Daphnia pulex: one gene and its partner. The protein of the gene in region 1 purifies or fractionates together with the protein of each later gene. This does not show direct contact. Links are inferred from orthologs where the notes say so. Each region holds a gene or a part of one and is shown on either strand. Other genes may lie near its edges.

Region 1 (10,720 bases):
GTTGTACTTGCAAATGAATATTATTATTGTTTGTTGTTTTAATGACCAGTAAAACCCAATATGCACACTATTTGGTAGTACTCACATTTCTCTCGGTTTGGACGGCGTTGAATTCATCGTCAACGGGTCGGGTTCCTACTTTGAGTTGCGCAAGGCCAACGTTGCCGTCGATCTTGTCCTACAAGCAACATTAAAGTCCGGCGGTTGCTACTTATTCTCAAATTTAAGAGGCTGCGATGGACAGCGTATCATGTTTAATGGAGGATCGTGTATCGCACTTAACGGACAAACAATCGCTAGAACGCGTCAATTCTCCTTAGAAGAAGTGGTAATTTTCGTCACAATATGTATCACTTGGATATTTTTAAAATCATTTCTTGCGATGGTTTATTCTTTAGGAAGTTGCTGTAGCCACTGTCGACTTGGATGACATACGAACTTACCGCAATTTAGTCCGTTCTCGAAACATCGCCGCTGCCCAGAGTCCATCGTATCGTCGTATTCCGGTCGATTTCAGTCTGAGCGAGTCTTCCTGCTACGCTATGAGAGCTTCCAGTACCCCATTCAAATGGCAGTACCACAGTCCTGAAGAGGAGATTGCTTATGGTCCTGCCGGCTGGCTCTGGGACTATCTCAGGTTGGTTTAAATTCATTTCAAACAACAGGATGACATTTTTTTTTAAACCGAACATCAAATTACTTGAAGGCGGTCTGGCCAGGGTGGATTTTTCTTACCTCTGAGTGGAGGTGTCGATTCAAGTTCCTCGGCTGTTTTAGTTTACTCCATGTGTCGAATGGTGGTAACTTCTGTACAAAATGGCGATAGTCACGCCATCGACGATGTCCGGCGTATTGTTGGCGATCCCAGTTACATCCCGGACGATCCTCGTGAACTGTGCAACCGGATTTTCATCACCTGTTACATGGGCAGCGCCAATTCATCGGCGGAGACACGACAGCGGGCAAAGGACTTGTCTGACCAGCTGGGAAGGTAAACGACCTTTTTTTAATTGGCCAACTTGACACCACAAACAAAAAAACAGACACTAAATTATTTTTCCTTATCACCCAATAAGCTATCATTTGACCCTGGCTATCGACGCTGTTGTCTCGGCCGCTCTCAACATTTTCACAGTCGTCACGGGGCTCGTACCAAAGTTCAGAGTCGATGGCGGCAGTTTGCGAGAAAACCTTGCCCTGCAAAACGTCCAGGCCCGAATGAGGATGGTGTTGAGCTACTTGCTGGCCCAGTTGATGTTGTGGGCCAGGGGCAGATCGGGTGGTTTGTTGGTTCTTGGTTCTGCCAATGTCGACGAATCTTTGCGTGGCTACCTCACCAAATACGATTGCTCCAGTGCCGATGTTAATCCCATCGGCGGAATCTCCAAAGGGGATTTGAAGCGATTCCTATCATACGCCCGGAATGAATATTGTCTAACTTCCCTGGACACTATTCTGACAGCTCCGCCGACTGCCGAATTGGAGCCCTTGCAAGAAGGTCGTCTAGTTCAGACGGACGAAGAAGACATGGGTTTAACTTACGCCGAGCTGGGTGACTTGGGGCGACTTCGTAAACAGGCAGCCTGTGGGCCTTACACCACTTTCTGTCGACTAATTCAAAGCTGGAGGGGAGCAGGAACACCAGCTGAAATCGCACACAAAGTATACAATGTCTCTTTTATAAAAAGAAAAAAAATGGAAATTTAGTACCAAAAGAGTTTCAATTTCAAGGTCAAACATTTTTATCGCTGCTACGCCATCAACCGACATAAAATGACGGTGATTACGCCTTCCGTCCACGCCGAGACGTACAGCCCCGATGATAACCGCTTCGACCATAGGCCCTTCCTTTACAACGCCAAGTGGGGATGGCAGTTTCGCGCAATTGACGCTCATGTAAGTATATATCGAGCCGTTTCATGCCCGACAGCTATACTACTACTATGTAAGCTTGTGAATTATTCATTTAGGCTTTTAATGGAATTACCATGTAGAATGTAGAAGAATCCCGGTTCGCCTCGAGAATCTTTATCCTTCCTTTTTTTATTTTTTTTTATACTGCTACCAAAGTCAGGGTGAGGAGGGGGGGGGGGAGCTGAAAGGAGGAAGGGGAGGTTTTATATGCTAAGGCTGTTTGATCTGTGAAAACTGGAGAGGTGCCGGCGTATTGATCGGTCGGGAAAGCCATGGCTTACGCATGTCATTTTTAGATATGTTCCACCTCCTTTTTTTTGTTGTCTTTTTTTCTAGTTGGAGCACGTCAACAAGATGGTCGACACTGATGATCGTAAACTAGATAATGCGCACATGCAATCAGGTAATTCTATTGCATTTTAGTTAATGGCGAAGAAGAAAAGGAAATCACCAAAACTCACAATAACTGCTAATTGTGCGGATCAACGGGGAGCTCCTGTGTGACCGTCTAGATTCAAATTAATTAATAAGCCTTTAGATAAAAGGAGATTATCAGCATAATATGGGCTCAACAAAGCCGTCCATGTAATTAATTATTAGACTGTAATAATAATACCGTCAAATAATACACTCCCAGATACATCATTTATTCTCTCCCATTTTCTTGAATGATTTCGTCATTTTCTGTTTTCTCGTCTTCCGCTGCTGCTGCTGCTGTTGATAATGCGACGACTTCTTGGTTCTTGTCCGCTTGATCGATACTTTGAGATACTTCCGCAACGGCGGCATCGCCATTCGTCGGTGTAGGACTAGGTTTTTCAGTAGTCGCAGTGGCAGTCTGCGCAATGTCCGTAGCTTGTTGTAAATAGGCTGCAGCCAATTGATCCAGACCGGCGCTTGTAGCCAGGTCAGCCGACAAAACCAGAGACAACGGATCTGATCGTCGCGCCAACGTGCGAGCCGCTTCAGCTACCTCGCCATTGGCCAGGAAACATTTTACTGCCAATTCGAGATTACCATCTAAAACAGCTTTGCTGGCCCAACGAGAAAGACTCTCTTGAACTTGAGAACTTTCGTCGGGGTACTGGCAACGTGTAAGAGCCACGGCTTCACGATGTAACTGCTGACTGGAAAACATTTCAATTGCCTGACTCTTCTGGCCGGAAATGAGAGTATAAGACACGGCTTTCCTGACATCTCCTTCTGCCATCAGCTGCTGGGCGTACAGATGGGCCATTTCCCTCCAAAACCTATCGGATCAATACTCCAATTAATGATCGTCGAGTCTCATCTTGTGATTTAAAAAATGGCCAACTTACTCCAAAGAGACTTGAGGAGCCAAACTAACAAGCCAATCATTAAGCTGCCTTTTCTTTACAGCTTCTCGTAGCATCGATTCGACATCTCCTTGCCAGATTCTCAAATGAGCTGCTAGATCTGAATTAGAACCTTCTTGATGATGGTCGATCTCCTCCTGGAGCATTTGAACTGTGGAATCCCGGCTAGCAAAAAAGCCCAGATGAGCCAACTCGGCATCTCCGAAATCAGAGGCAGGACATGTAAAGGATTCCGGATCTTCGCCAATGACGGAATGTTTTAGAGTCACTCCTTTCAGGGTAGCCAATATTTTGCAGTCTTTCAAACCCTCGATTCGGCCACGGGCTTCAAGAGTGGCGCTAACCGGGAACAATGATTTCAGCTTACTCGGTGGCTTCTTTTTAGTTGTGCCACTTGAAGTTGCATGGCGACCAACAAAAGAAGAAGATTGAGGGGGTTTGTATGGTATTTTCTTTCGTTCCTTCAACGTTTTGACTGCAATAGATTCGGCAGGTGTCTTGTAGACTTGTTCTTTAACTTTCCACATTCGAATAGTCATGTCGTCTCCTCCTGTAACGGCCGTATCCTGTTCTAATGCGTTCCATTCGCAACAAAGCAATCTTCCGGTATGGCCACCAAAATTAGCCACTTGCTCTTTGTTGATCACGTCCCAAACCTGCAAATGCAAGTAAAAATAAAAGGGTATAATTAAAAAGTCTAAGAATGATTTACCTGTGCGGTTCCATCATAACTGGCAGAAAGAAGCTTTCCATCTTCATGTGGGCTCCAAGCCACCGACACCACACGTTCTTTATGACCGCTTAGAGTAGCCGCAAGTGTGGATGTTGCGGGTTCGTCGTTGTTGGCAACGACGACGCTAAAAACTGGAACAAAAGTAAAAAGGCGTCAGTCAGTCAATAAAACAAAAGGGGTCAAGATAGTTAAAATTTACACGTACCTTTGATGTTCACATCGTTTGAAGCCACTGCCAACCAGTTTTCAAATTTGGAAGGTTCCACACTTTGGAAAGTGAATGGCGGATGCCATTTAAGGCATTGAATAAGTTTTTTATGCGCAACGATAATCGTTAGCAAAGATAAATCGCCGCCTGAATAGATTTCCACAGAACCGTCTTCGTTGCCTACGGCTAGAAGAGAAAAGTCCACTTTCCATTGAAATTCCGTACGCGAAGGGAACTTTTGATTTTTTTCTCCTTTGCTTGCGATCAAATTATTGAAATTTTTTGCTTCCGTATCTAATGCTGATGGATCGTGAACCATAATGTTGTTCCCACCACAAGAGTAGAGGAATATCCCTTCCTTAGACGGCAGGGTAGCCCAGGATAAATTGTATACGGTACCCTTGTGGTAAGTGCGACTCAATTGAGGTGGTTTAGTTAGCGACAGTGTGTCAAATATTCCTACGCGTCCTTCATCGGTTCCAAATGCCAACCGGCCCTCTATTGTCGGATGCCACGCTAATCCACTCACTTTGCCTGTTATGATTGAATTGCAATTTTACTCTCTATACTGCATAAGTAGATTATATATTCATCACCTTTGATTCCATTCCACAGCATCATCATGTCAGGTTTCGCAGCTGCCATATTCCATAGTCTGATGGAGCAGTCTCCCAATCCCACAGCCATTTGGGATGAATCGATGGGATTGATATTCATGACGTAGATGAAACCACCCATGGTTGGCATACAAAGATGCGGATTCTCCATTTCTTGAATGCCTAACACTTCTTTTGGTACGTGGCCTTCCACTATGGGCCAAAGAATAACATTACGATCCTGCGCCGAAGTCCAAATCATTTCCTGGTTTTCTCCAGTCATGTATGAAGAAATATTGAAGAGTCCACGGCTGTGAAGCTTGTGAACGATCTTCCAAGACAATTTGGGCCCAACCTACAGCAAAACAAATTGATTAAATTCATGCAAATAAAAATTTAACTTAAAATTCTGACCTCCCACAAGATAAGTTCACCACTGAGTCCACTGCTCAAAATATGTTTTTCGTTTAGCCAATGTAAGGCTACCCAGGTCGCACGTTTATCATCCTGAGTAGACCGAGGGCGATGGACTCCAGTATTGCCAGGAAGTTTTGATTGGCTGACACATTTTCCTTCGTTAGTGGCCCAGATTTTAATAGTTTTATCTCGGCCCGAAGTCGCCAAGAATGTTTCCTTCTTTTCTTTTTCACAAATAAATACATTTCCTTTCAAAGGGCACCAAACGATGTTGTGTAGATCCTAAAAGAATTTGTTGTGAATTAATGACGACACTTCATGGGAAAACGCAAAACTGGTTAAACTTATTACATCTTCGTGAGCTCGCAGTTTATGAATTATACCACGGTTTTCTAAATGAAATCAATGATATGTGTGATGAAAAATCATGATAATGTTAGAGCAAGTACTGAATCATTACCTCTAACATCACATATGTACAGCAATCCACCTTTACAGCCAATGGCCAGCTGCCATGGAATGTGGGGATTGAATGACAGCATAAGAGGGTTTATTTTCCCATAATTGAGCTTCCGAGTGCTGCAACTCTCATAGCTCAATAGTAGCTCTGTTATTATGATGGTCCCATCTTCACTTGATGATGCCAAGATTTTCTTATCCAGTAGAGAAGACCAACTTAGACAAGAAATTTTTTGCTCCTAGAAAAAGATGTCAAATTAGATTTGTAGCTTGACAATATGTTTTACAAATATTACCTGATGTGCATTTTGTTCAAATACAAGACTCAAATCATTATATTTCCATATACAAATAGAACCATCTTCTCCAGCACTACTCAGCAACAAATTATTCTCTTCTGAGGGCTGATACCAAGACACACCTTCATATGAAAACAAAACCGATTAATTGAAAAGTGAACCTAAGGAAGTTTATGCTAAACTAACAAGTAATTTTATTCCTGTGGGCGTCCGGGATGACATTAGTTGTAGGATAACTGAAATTATCTCCTACATTACAAGATTTCACAAAGACGAGGCATCGCGAAGCAGCATAAACTAATACTCCAGACTTTTTGTGACATTCAAAAGCACCACTCAGATACCAATTTGGAGATGGAGGAATCACAATCTCTTTTTTATTTTCTGTCATCCTACAAGTTTAACTTGTACAATTTCTTTAAGTTGAAAACTAAATCTTACATATACGCACCATGTGCGAACAATTTCAAAACAACGTGCACAGACGACAAAGGTGGTGCTAAACAGTAAACCTTACTAAAAGCAGATATTACATAATTTATTTTTGAGATGGGATAAGTTAAGAAGTTGTAATAATTCTTTAAATAACGCTCAGAAAAAATTCGTTATTATGAATCATGAGCGATCCTTCGTGTTGCATAAAATAAAACAATTCTTGGCCGCTTCCAAGGGTAGCTCGAATTGTTCCTCATCAAATCAGAAATCAACGAACCTTGTTCGAAATGTGCGCGTCAAAAGGAATTCGTCACTTATTTCGAAGAATAGCTTACGCTCATAAACGTCGATAGATGTGTGAATGTAGGCTGATATTGTTTGTCATGTTCCAGAGTTTCAGTGAGCAATATGGAGACCGGAAGATGCAGTTTCGCTTGTGCATTTCTACATTTGTTCATAAATGTTCTATTACTGGTACGCTTAATTCTTTATTATTTACGAAAACTCATTGCAATCAATGAGTGACACAAGTAATTATTACGAAACATGGTAGGTTCTCGGAATGTGTTTACTTGGATTTGGACTAGCTGAAGAATCTACTCGGCTAACATCCATACTCTCGGCTGAATTGAAAATCGGAAGTCTTGCTGTTGTCATAGGAGTCATACTGATCGTTATGACGACGCTTAACTGTTGTTTCACTATTGACGGCAGTTCTGTTTTTTACTACATAGTGAGTAAAATAAAAATAATTTTCTTTCTCCCTATCTGTATCCGTAGTGAATCGTATTAAAGAGACGTTGACACTTGACAGTATGCAGGTTTCCTCGTACTGTTGTTCATTGCCATGGTTGGACTTTTGGTGGCGTTCGGTCCTGATTTCGGTACTAAAGTCAAGCAAGACATTAGAGAGTCTATGCGCGAAATGATGTATTTCGATCCCGACGGAAGTGGGAAAACTGGAATGGATATCACCCAACAAATGGTAAATTAGTTTACTTGGAAATTAGTCGGCTGACGTGATAAAGCGCTTGGTTTAGTTCCAGTGTTGTGGCGTTGATAGCTACAAGGACTGGAACAGCGTAGCAGGATATTCATTCATTCCTGATTCCTGTTGCGTTAAATCAGGATGCGACACTTCCTATCTGAAGAATATATACCAAGAAGTAATTAAATATTATTATTAATCAGTTACATTAAATTTAGTTTAAACTTAATTCTCACTTTACAGGATTGTGTCTCGAGCATGATGAAGTCGGTCGATGCCCTCTTCGCCAAAATAACCGCAATTGGGATTGCCATTACGATATTCCTACCTTTTCAAATCATTCTTGTCATTTTTCTAGTCCGCTGCGTTCCGAGTGATCCTGTCTATCAATAGTTAATTTGTTTGTTGCTACAAAAAGGAAAAATTTGATTGTGAAAAGAATAGACGCCCGTATCAGGTCATCTCAATTTATTGTTACGAATTAATCACACTGTGGAAAGGCCCGCAAAAGTACAATCGAGGGTGAAAAAACGAGTGAGTTCAATCATTGACAACTGAAAGAAACGTCATATCAAAAAGGGGGGTATCCCCCTGACCTACCAAAAAATAGGCAGAAAACATTTAATTCACATCATTTAAAATATCTGATAGCGCTCGGGCTAATTTTGGATCACAAGCACGAACAAGTACTGCCGGCTTGAAAGACGTGACGGCTCCTTCAGATGGCATGGATTGACCTGCAAAAGCTTAGGTGCTTAAGCTCTCTCTCGGAACATTTATTAACGATGAAAAAATCTATCTCCTCTCTCCGGATGTTCATTAAAACTTGCCTTCGACATAGTCTCCGTGATCGTCATTGCTATGGTCGTAGCCGGCTGCGTGTAAATCAGGCTCGTCGTGTACATCAGATTTCTCTGCATACTGCTTCGCCTACAACAACAACAACTATTAAAATATCGATCAAACGAAGTTGCTAGCTCAGTCAAGACTTACTTCGGCAAACATCGATTGGAATTCAAGCGCAGCGTCAGTAGAGCTGAACTGGGCACGGAAAGTCCTGTGCACAGATTCCTCAGACGAATAATCGATTGCCGACCATACGCACTCTTTGTTATCAACCTATAAATCAGATCATTAAGTTGGATGCAGTTCTTTTTTATACAAAGGGATAAAAGAAATAATAAAATACCTTTAGCTCAGTCTCAATAGCAATGACATTGTCACAGAGCAACTGCTCATTTACATCTTCGACAACGATCCTCGCACACAACATCTCATCGTCGTACACAATTTTAAGATTGCCGGTTCCTAAAAGCACCCATTTCTTGTCGGTCTGACCACCTTCCAGGGACGAGAGTGTGCAGCGCTTCTCGAACATAATGGACTCCTCCAAATCTTCATATTCTTCTTCATCTTGATCTTCTTCAACTGTTTCTTCATCTTCACCTTCTTCCTCCTCTTCTTCTTCAGCGTTCTTTGTTGCACCTGTCACTTCCGGTTGAGGAGTAACAGTAGGTAGAGTCTCTCCAGGTTTCATGGCTTCACAGCAAGGGCATTTTAGCACAGTAGCATCATTACGCGTAAAGCATCCTTGGCATTCCCAAGAACCTTCTTTGTGAGTCACAGCTAGAGTTGAAACAATGTTTGACTCGGCCAACGTTGGCTTTACTGCGGTCGTGTTCTTCCTTAACGCAGTTTGGCATTCCTCAAACTTAGTTTTAAAGAGAGTTGCCTGATCGTCTGTCTTAAAACGAACTGCAAATGATTCGGAGATTAACTCGCCCTGTGAAAAATCCATTGCAAACCAGGTCCAAGCAGTAGTAGAAGTAGACATGGGTTTCAAACTCATATCATCAGTGATCCAATGATTACATGCCAGTTTGTGAATTTGGTCCCTAAAACAAACAAATTCGTTACTTTCTTCAAGTCAGGTATCACGGGAAAAAATTATGAAAATACCTTCTCAACAGAATTCGGTAGGTATTTTTGTCCTTGTTATAAAGGATTTTTATATCTCCGACTCCTTTCTCCTTCCATTCCTTACTTTCTGCCACGTATCGGTATAATTTTGCGCGGTGAGAGAAAATGACTTCTTCATCCTCCTCACCAGTTTTCACCTCAACCAACGCCGGCAGAGGAATAATTGGTTCAAAGTGAGGATCGTTGCTTTCAGGAACTTCGTCGTTATCGTCTTCACCATGGTTGGTTTTATCTTCTTGCGGCGTCGCTGGACTACCCATCTAAAGAAATAATAAATTTAAAAAATTCATAAATCACTTCATGAAAGTGAAATCAAAATTAAATTTTACCCCAAAAATAGGTTGACCAGTTCCAGACCAGGAAAACGCGGCTGGCTTGTTGAAGCCACTGCCAGTTGAAGAGACTAGTGACGAGAAAGATAGCTGTGAGGCGGAGGCATCAATCATCTTGGCAAACGAAATTGCGTTGGAAGGAGTCTCGGGTTTGGCGACATTATTGGGCTTAGTAATGACGTCAGGTTTCGTGGTTACACTCTTGTCTTCAGGTTCACAACCACGACAACCTGGACACGGCGGAGCATCTTCGTACAAGAAAAAGTTAAGGGGGAGCTTGAGCTCCTTGGCTTTACGCTTCTGTTCCTCTGTGGCTTCCTTGGCGTAGACAAGTTGTACTTCATCTGCTATTTCGTGGAAGAAATATTAAAATTTAGTAACTCTTTAAGACAATAACAAAACTGTATTTGAAAGTACCTCCTGTTGCAGCTGGCGTGCTGGCGACAGACGCTGATGAAGGGGAAACCTAGAGCGCAGAAAAGATTAATTTCGAGCTAATTAATTTGCAATTAGTGCACGATTACCTTAGTCTCATTCACAGCATCCATGAAAGCTTTGCAGGTTTCTGCGTCACGAAATCTTATGGCGAAAGTCTCTTCTTTCTCTTCACCGTCAGTAAAGTCTTTAGCTTTCCATATCCAAGATTTCTCGTCTTTGGGTTTGAAAGTCAGATCAGGAGTGAGAGCGTGATTTAGACAAATCTTAAAAATTTGTTCTCGTCGCATTAATAGTCTAGAATAAAACAATAAAAACAAATGAATGAAAAAGGTTAATAAATTATAATGAAATACAACTGATAAGCTTACCTAGTTTTTCCAGTGTCTTTTTGTCGCAAGATTTTTACATCACCCAGGCCTCGCTCCTTCCATTCATTATCAACCAATCGGAAAAGTTTAGCGCGATGGCAGTAAACAACTTCCTCGTCTTCTTCTCCAGTCTTGACTTGAATTTTCTCTGGCAATGGAATGATGGGTTCAAAGTGAATGTTGTCACTCTCACCTTCATCATAGTACTCGTTGTCG
Region 2 (4,099 bases), on another chromosome or scaffold:
TCTTGAGCAAAGCCTATAGAAAATTCGAAAAATTGCACTGACAAATCCGCTGGGGCCGACATGTATTAGCAACTGGCGTTTTGGTGTAGCGGAATTGTGGATAATATATCCAAATTATTCAGTTTAGGAGGTTTTCCCATCTAGGTATCTCGGGCAATCTGCCTTAGTAGAACTATGGAAACATGTTCACAGATTGTATGGTTCCATTTTTGGGTTTATTTTTGTGGGCGGACCGGCGGAGTGCTTGCGGTCACGTGATGATGGAAACTCGATTCAGAATCATGTCGTGTGTATCAGACTTTGCCGCGTTTTGTTTGTTTATTTTTTTGCATGTGCTAACGATAAAAAGGCCTATCCTTAAGCTGAGTTAAGCATGAAGGACGAAACAGTATGAGTTTTTTGGCGCAAAAAATTTAGCTAACTAAAGTAAAATTTTGTTATGGTCTTAAAGTAGAGAGCTAGAGACACCGTCTCAACTTTCAGACGATAAATACATCAAGATTAAAGACATTCCTAATCCTAAGAAACCATTAATTTCAATTAATTCAATAATTGAATTCTACGCCATCAAGAGGCCAAATAATATCGAACAGTTTTTTTTTACTTTGTTTTGGTTTGTCTGCAAGTAGAAGTTGAAATCCAAGCTGATTTTTGAAAACCACAATAACATTAACCGAACTTAACCGCATCAGCAATGTATTTAAGAAAAGGCCGAAAAGGCTTTGTAAGAAAGAAAGGAACTAATTTATTTATTTACCAATATTTGGGACTTGGATGTAATTGAAAGATGCTGTACAACTTGAATCTTTTGAGATGCAGTAATGAAATAAATCTTACCGTATAAAATATGTTTACCATATATTAAACCTTGTCAAAAATGCACGTAGAAATTCCCCCTTAGTCTCATTTGAAACCTAATTATGTCTATTTTTATGTAGTATTTATAGTTTTTTTTCCTTAAAGAGCATTAATTTAAATGTTATAAGTTACCTACTACCTACTTACTAGACTCCACTTTCAAGAAATTTAATGAAAAATATCAGCGCCAAACCCATTAAAATCCAATAAGCAATAAGCAACAAGCAAACTAAAGGGCCGGGGGTCTAGTATTACGATTATAATATTTAAAACAATATAAAAAGTAAAAACTGATACAAATTGGTTGGGGCCAAAACGCTGTTTTTGACTGTAGTGACTATTTACTTTTATATATGTCTGATTCTGATCTGGTATTGATTCGTCTGCTTTTTTAAATTTAGTTTTATTTCTAGTTGCCAAATATATATTTTGTTGCTAGCCTATTTACGGCTCAAAAAAAATTTATGAAATTGGTCAGATAAATTAGAAATTACAAAATCCCGCTGTTTTTCCTAAAATCTCAATCCCATCTCATCCCACAATACCCGTTTTTTAAAACGGGTATTTTCAATTTTAAAAACTTGAAAATTTCAAAAGTGGGAAAATCCCACCAAAGACCAAAGTGGCAGCCCTGCCGAGCAATAGATAGACAGTAATGGACTAATGGCCGACAGCTAAGACGCTCGACCGAGAAGCTTTTTGAAAGGTCCATGCTCATTGAAATATTTGTGAAATGACGCAGTTTTTGCCTCCAAATCTTTTGGCTCTTTTTGCGCCACGCGATCCCCCTCCATTTTTACCACCACCTGATAAATTGACTCATGAAAAAAAAAGAACGCCATACATTGGTATAGCGCAGTATACAAATCTGTTTGAGGTTAGTATTTGATTCCATTAAAAATTAAAAATTGATATAGTAGTCAAGGTAAGTATTGCAATTTGATCTAATTTGATTGATTTGGGAAGTAATGTATGTCTTAATTTACTAATGCACGGGTCCCAATCCCAATTTATGGAACAGTTTTGGTTCATTTATTCATTCTCCTCTAGATGTGTCGATGAGAATCCCAAGTTTTCATGTGTGACATGTGAGATGCAAAATATTTTGTGAAAATGTTGTGAAAGTGTCTTAATTTTCTGGAAGCACAGTGTTTCCAGCTGAGCCTTTTATCAGGTTGACAATTTAATGTTAGCATATGTCTGAGGGGTGTAAAGTAGTCATTGTTTCACAAAGTTTTAAATGAGAGATGTGGAACGAAACATTGCATACTAGAAGCATTCTGATGAACTAAGTACTGAGCTTTCAAACATAACGAAATTTTTAATATCATTTTATATTCTTAACAGGATCCTAAAGATACACCCCCTCCTACGCGAGCAGAAACACGGGATGAACGGCGCGAAAGAAAACGTCGCGAAAAGGCAGAACAAGTTGCCTATAAACTTGAACAGGAAATTGCAATGTGTAAGTTCTAATTTTTGGTGTGTTTCTACAATTTCTTTTATCAATTTCCCTTTTCTCTGGCATTCATAGGGGATCCACACAGTAATGGTGTTTCTACCATGGACCCCTTCAAAACGCTGTTCGTTGCTCGCATTGTAAGTGTCAATACTCATACTATAATTTTTTTTTCTCATCACTTTTATTTTATTTCGAGCTTAATGAATAATGAGTGCTAAGTTATAACTAGTAATCCGCATGAATGAAACGATAATTCTTGAAACATTTTCTCTCAGAATTTTGATACTTCGGAATCTAAATTGCGCAGGGAGTTTGAAGTGTACGGAGTTGTTCGGAAGGTAACTTACAAGCACCATGTGAAATTTAATCACACGCTTACCACGCTTTTTAATGTTACAGATTGTGTTGGTGCATGACAAGAGGACTAGTAAGCCACGCGGTTATGCATTCATCGAGTATGAACATGAGCGAGACATGCATTGTAAGTATTTCTTTTCTATTATACCTAAGTCGTGTGGTAACTGAGGGTAGTGGGCTAATTAGTAAGGCCTGCGATAGCTTTCACTGTTCAATTAATCGTCGCACCACCAATTTGTATGATGATGAAAGGGGTGGGGGTGAGGTGGGGAAAATCTGTGATTGATTTGTACCTTAAAGTTTTCCTATATTTCATTTTGTCGTTTCCGGTCACAGTCGCGGCCTCCGACTATTTGGACGGTCATGTGGCCTTTGTCGCTTTTTGTCTCTTGATGCTAGGTTTGTATGGTCAATTGGTAAGGTTTCGTTTGGTTAAAGTTAAACCAAAATCCCTTTGAAATCGACTGCAGGTTCAAATTAGCTTCAAAGAAAGTATCTTTTCGTTTTCACCCTCCCTTCCCCTTGATGGTAGTAAGTATCCTGGTAAGTCGGTTACTAGGCTTTCTAGCGCCACTAAAAATTAGGGCCATTTCAATTCGATCAGATTCTTCGAGTGCTGCTGCGCGTTAAGAGGATTCACAGGTAAAGATGGGGACAGCTTGAAGAGGGAATGGATCTGCTTCTGTGATTGGCAACATTTGATCGCTTATTAATAGATCTGGATGTTACGTGAACATAGCCGTAATCTGGTAAACGGCCGTGGCGTTGGTTTTTTATGCATTTTCCAAGTGTTATGATTGGTCATACTTGAAATCATTGCATTTTTCGTTATTTGTTAATTCACGGTAAATATTTTTCGAAATTGCTGGGAGGGGTAGGTAATGGAGATCCTTCGGTAGGTGATATTAGGTTTGTGATACTAATTGTTGGAACTCTCCTTCTCCATGTTATACACGCTGAATTTTTCGTCTTCTCTGCCTGCTGTACTACCCGTATTTACGATTTGTTCGTTTTGCCGACGGCGCCGAAATACTGGTTTGTTGTTTTAAAATACCAGCTGCGTACAAACACGCCGACGGAAAGAAAATAGACGGCCGCAGAGTTCTTGTAGACGTAGAAAGGGCAAGGACTGTCAAAGGTAATTATTTTAATTAAATAAGTTTTATGTTTATAGTTTGCTGCCCTTTTTTTCGAAGGCAAATTTTAAAATTTGTTTTGAAAATCCATAGGTTTTTTATTTTGATTAATCAGTGTAAATAAGTGCACAAAATTTTTTTCTTCTTGTTAGATATTATAATCATGCCGCCATGGTTTCTAAGTACCTAAACTATTGCATTCCAGGTTGGCTTCCTCGCCGTTTGGGTGGAGGCTTGGGTGGGACTCGTCGTGGAGGACCAGATGTAAACGTAAAACATTCAGGAC

What was found.
Region 2: the proteins of gem-associated protein 5-like (region 1) and U1 small nuclear ribonucleoprotein 70 kDa-like purify together in Homo sapiens (affinity purification with mass spectrometry; 4 studies listed by BioGRID and IntAct, counting the BioPlex papers as one, with this or other methods). This does not show direct contact. The link is inferred for Daphnia pulex from reciprocal best matches to the Homo sapiens genes GEMIN5 and SNRNP70.

The regions. Positions count from the first base shown.
Region 1 is NC_060024.1:12,894,339-12,905,058, reverse strand, and holds gem-associated protein 5-like, read right to left. Parts: upstream 6,482-10,720; 5' UTR 6,355-6,481; coding exon 6,150-6,354; intron 6,086-6,149; coding exon 5,961-6,085; intron 5,904-5,960; coding exon 5,666-5,903; intron 5,598-5,665; coding exon 5,557-5,597; intron 5,488-5,556; coding exon 5,203-5,487; intron 5,144-5,202; coding exon 4,789-5,143; intron 4,727-4,788; coding exon 4,190-4,726; intron 4,116-4,189; coding exon 3,964-4,115; intron 3,908-3,963; coding exon 3,234-3,907; intron 3,165-3,233; coding exon 2,561-3,164; 3' UTR 2,464-2,560; downstream 1-2,463. Other genes in the region: glutamine-dependent NAD(+) synthetase-like, read left to right, coding at 79-328, 399-637, 707-991, 1,077-1,662, 1,732-1,896, 2,251-2,337; CD63 antigen-like, read left to right, coding at 6,807-6,872, 6,952-7,131, 7,213-7,383, 7,439-7,564, 7,630-7,779; E3 SUMO-protein ligase RanBP2-like, read right to left, coding at 8,008-8,123, 8,217-8,316, 8,380-8,505, 8,576-9,281, 9,346-9,626, 9,696-10,045, 10,116-10,164, 10,223-10,430 and 1 more. UniProt on the Homo sapiens protein: The SMN complex catalyzes the assembly of small nuclear ribonucleoproteins (snRNPs), the building blocks of the spliceosome, and thereby plays an important role in the splicing of cellular pre-mRNAs.
Region 2 is NC_060026.1:6,141,064-6,145,162, reverse strand, and holds the start of U1 small nuclear ribonucleoprotein 70 kDa-like, read left to right. Parts: upstream 1-1,299; 5' UTR 1,300-1,591; coding exon 1,592-1,735; intron 1,736-2,205; coding exon 2,206-2,323; intron 2,324-2,392; coding exon 2,393-2,457; intron 2,458-2,595; coding exon 2,596-2,658; intron 2,659-2,719; coding exon 2,720-2,801; intron 2,802-3,734; coding exon 3,735-3,815; intron 3,816-4,018; coding exon 4,019-4,099. UniProt on the Homo sapiens protein: Component of the spliceosomal U1 snRNP, which is essential for recognition of the pre-mRNA 5' splice-site and the subsequent assembly of the spliceosome. SNRNP70 binds to the loop I region of U1-snRNA.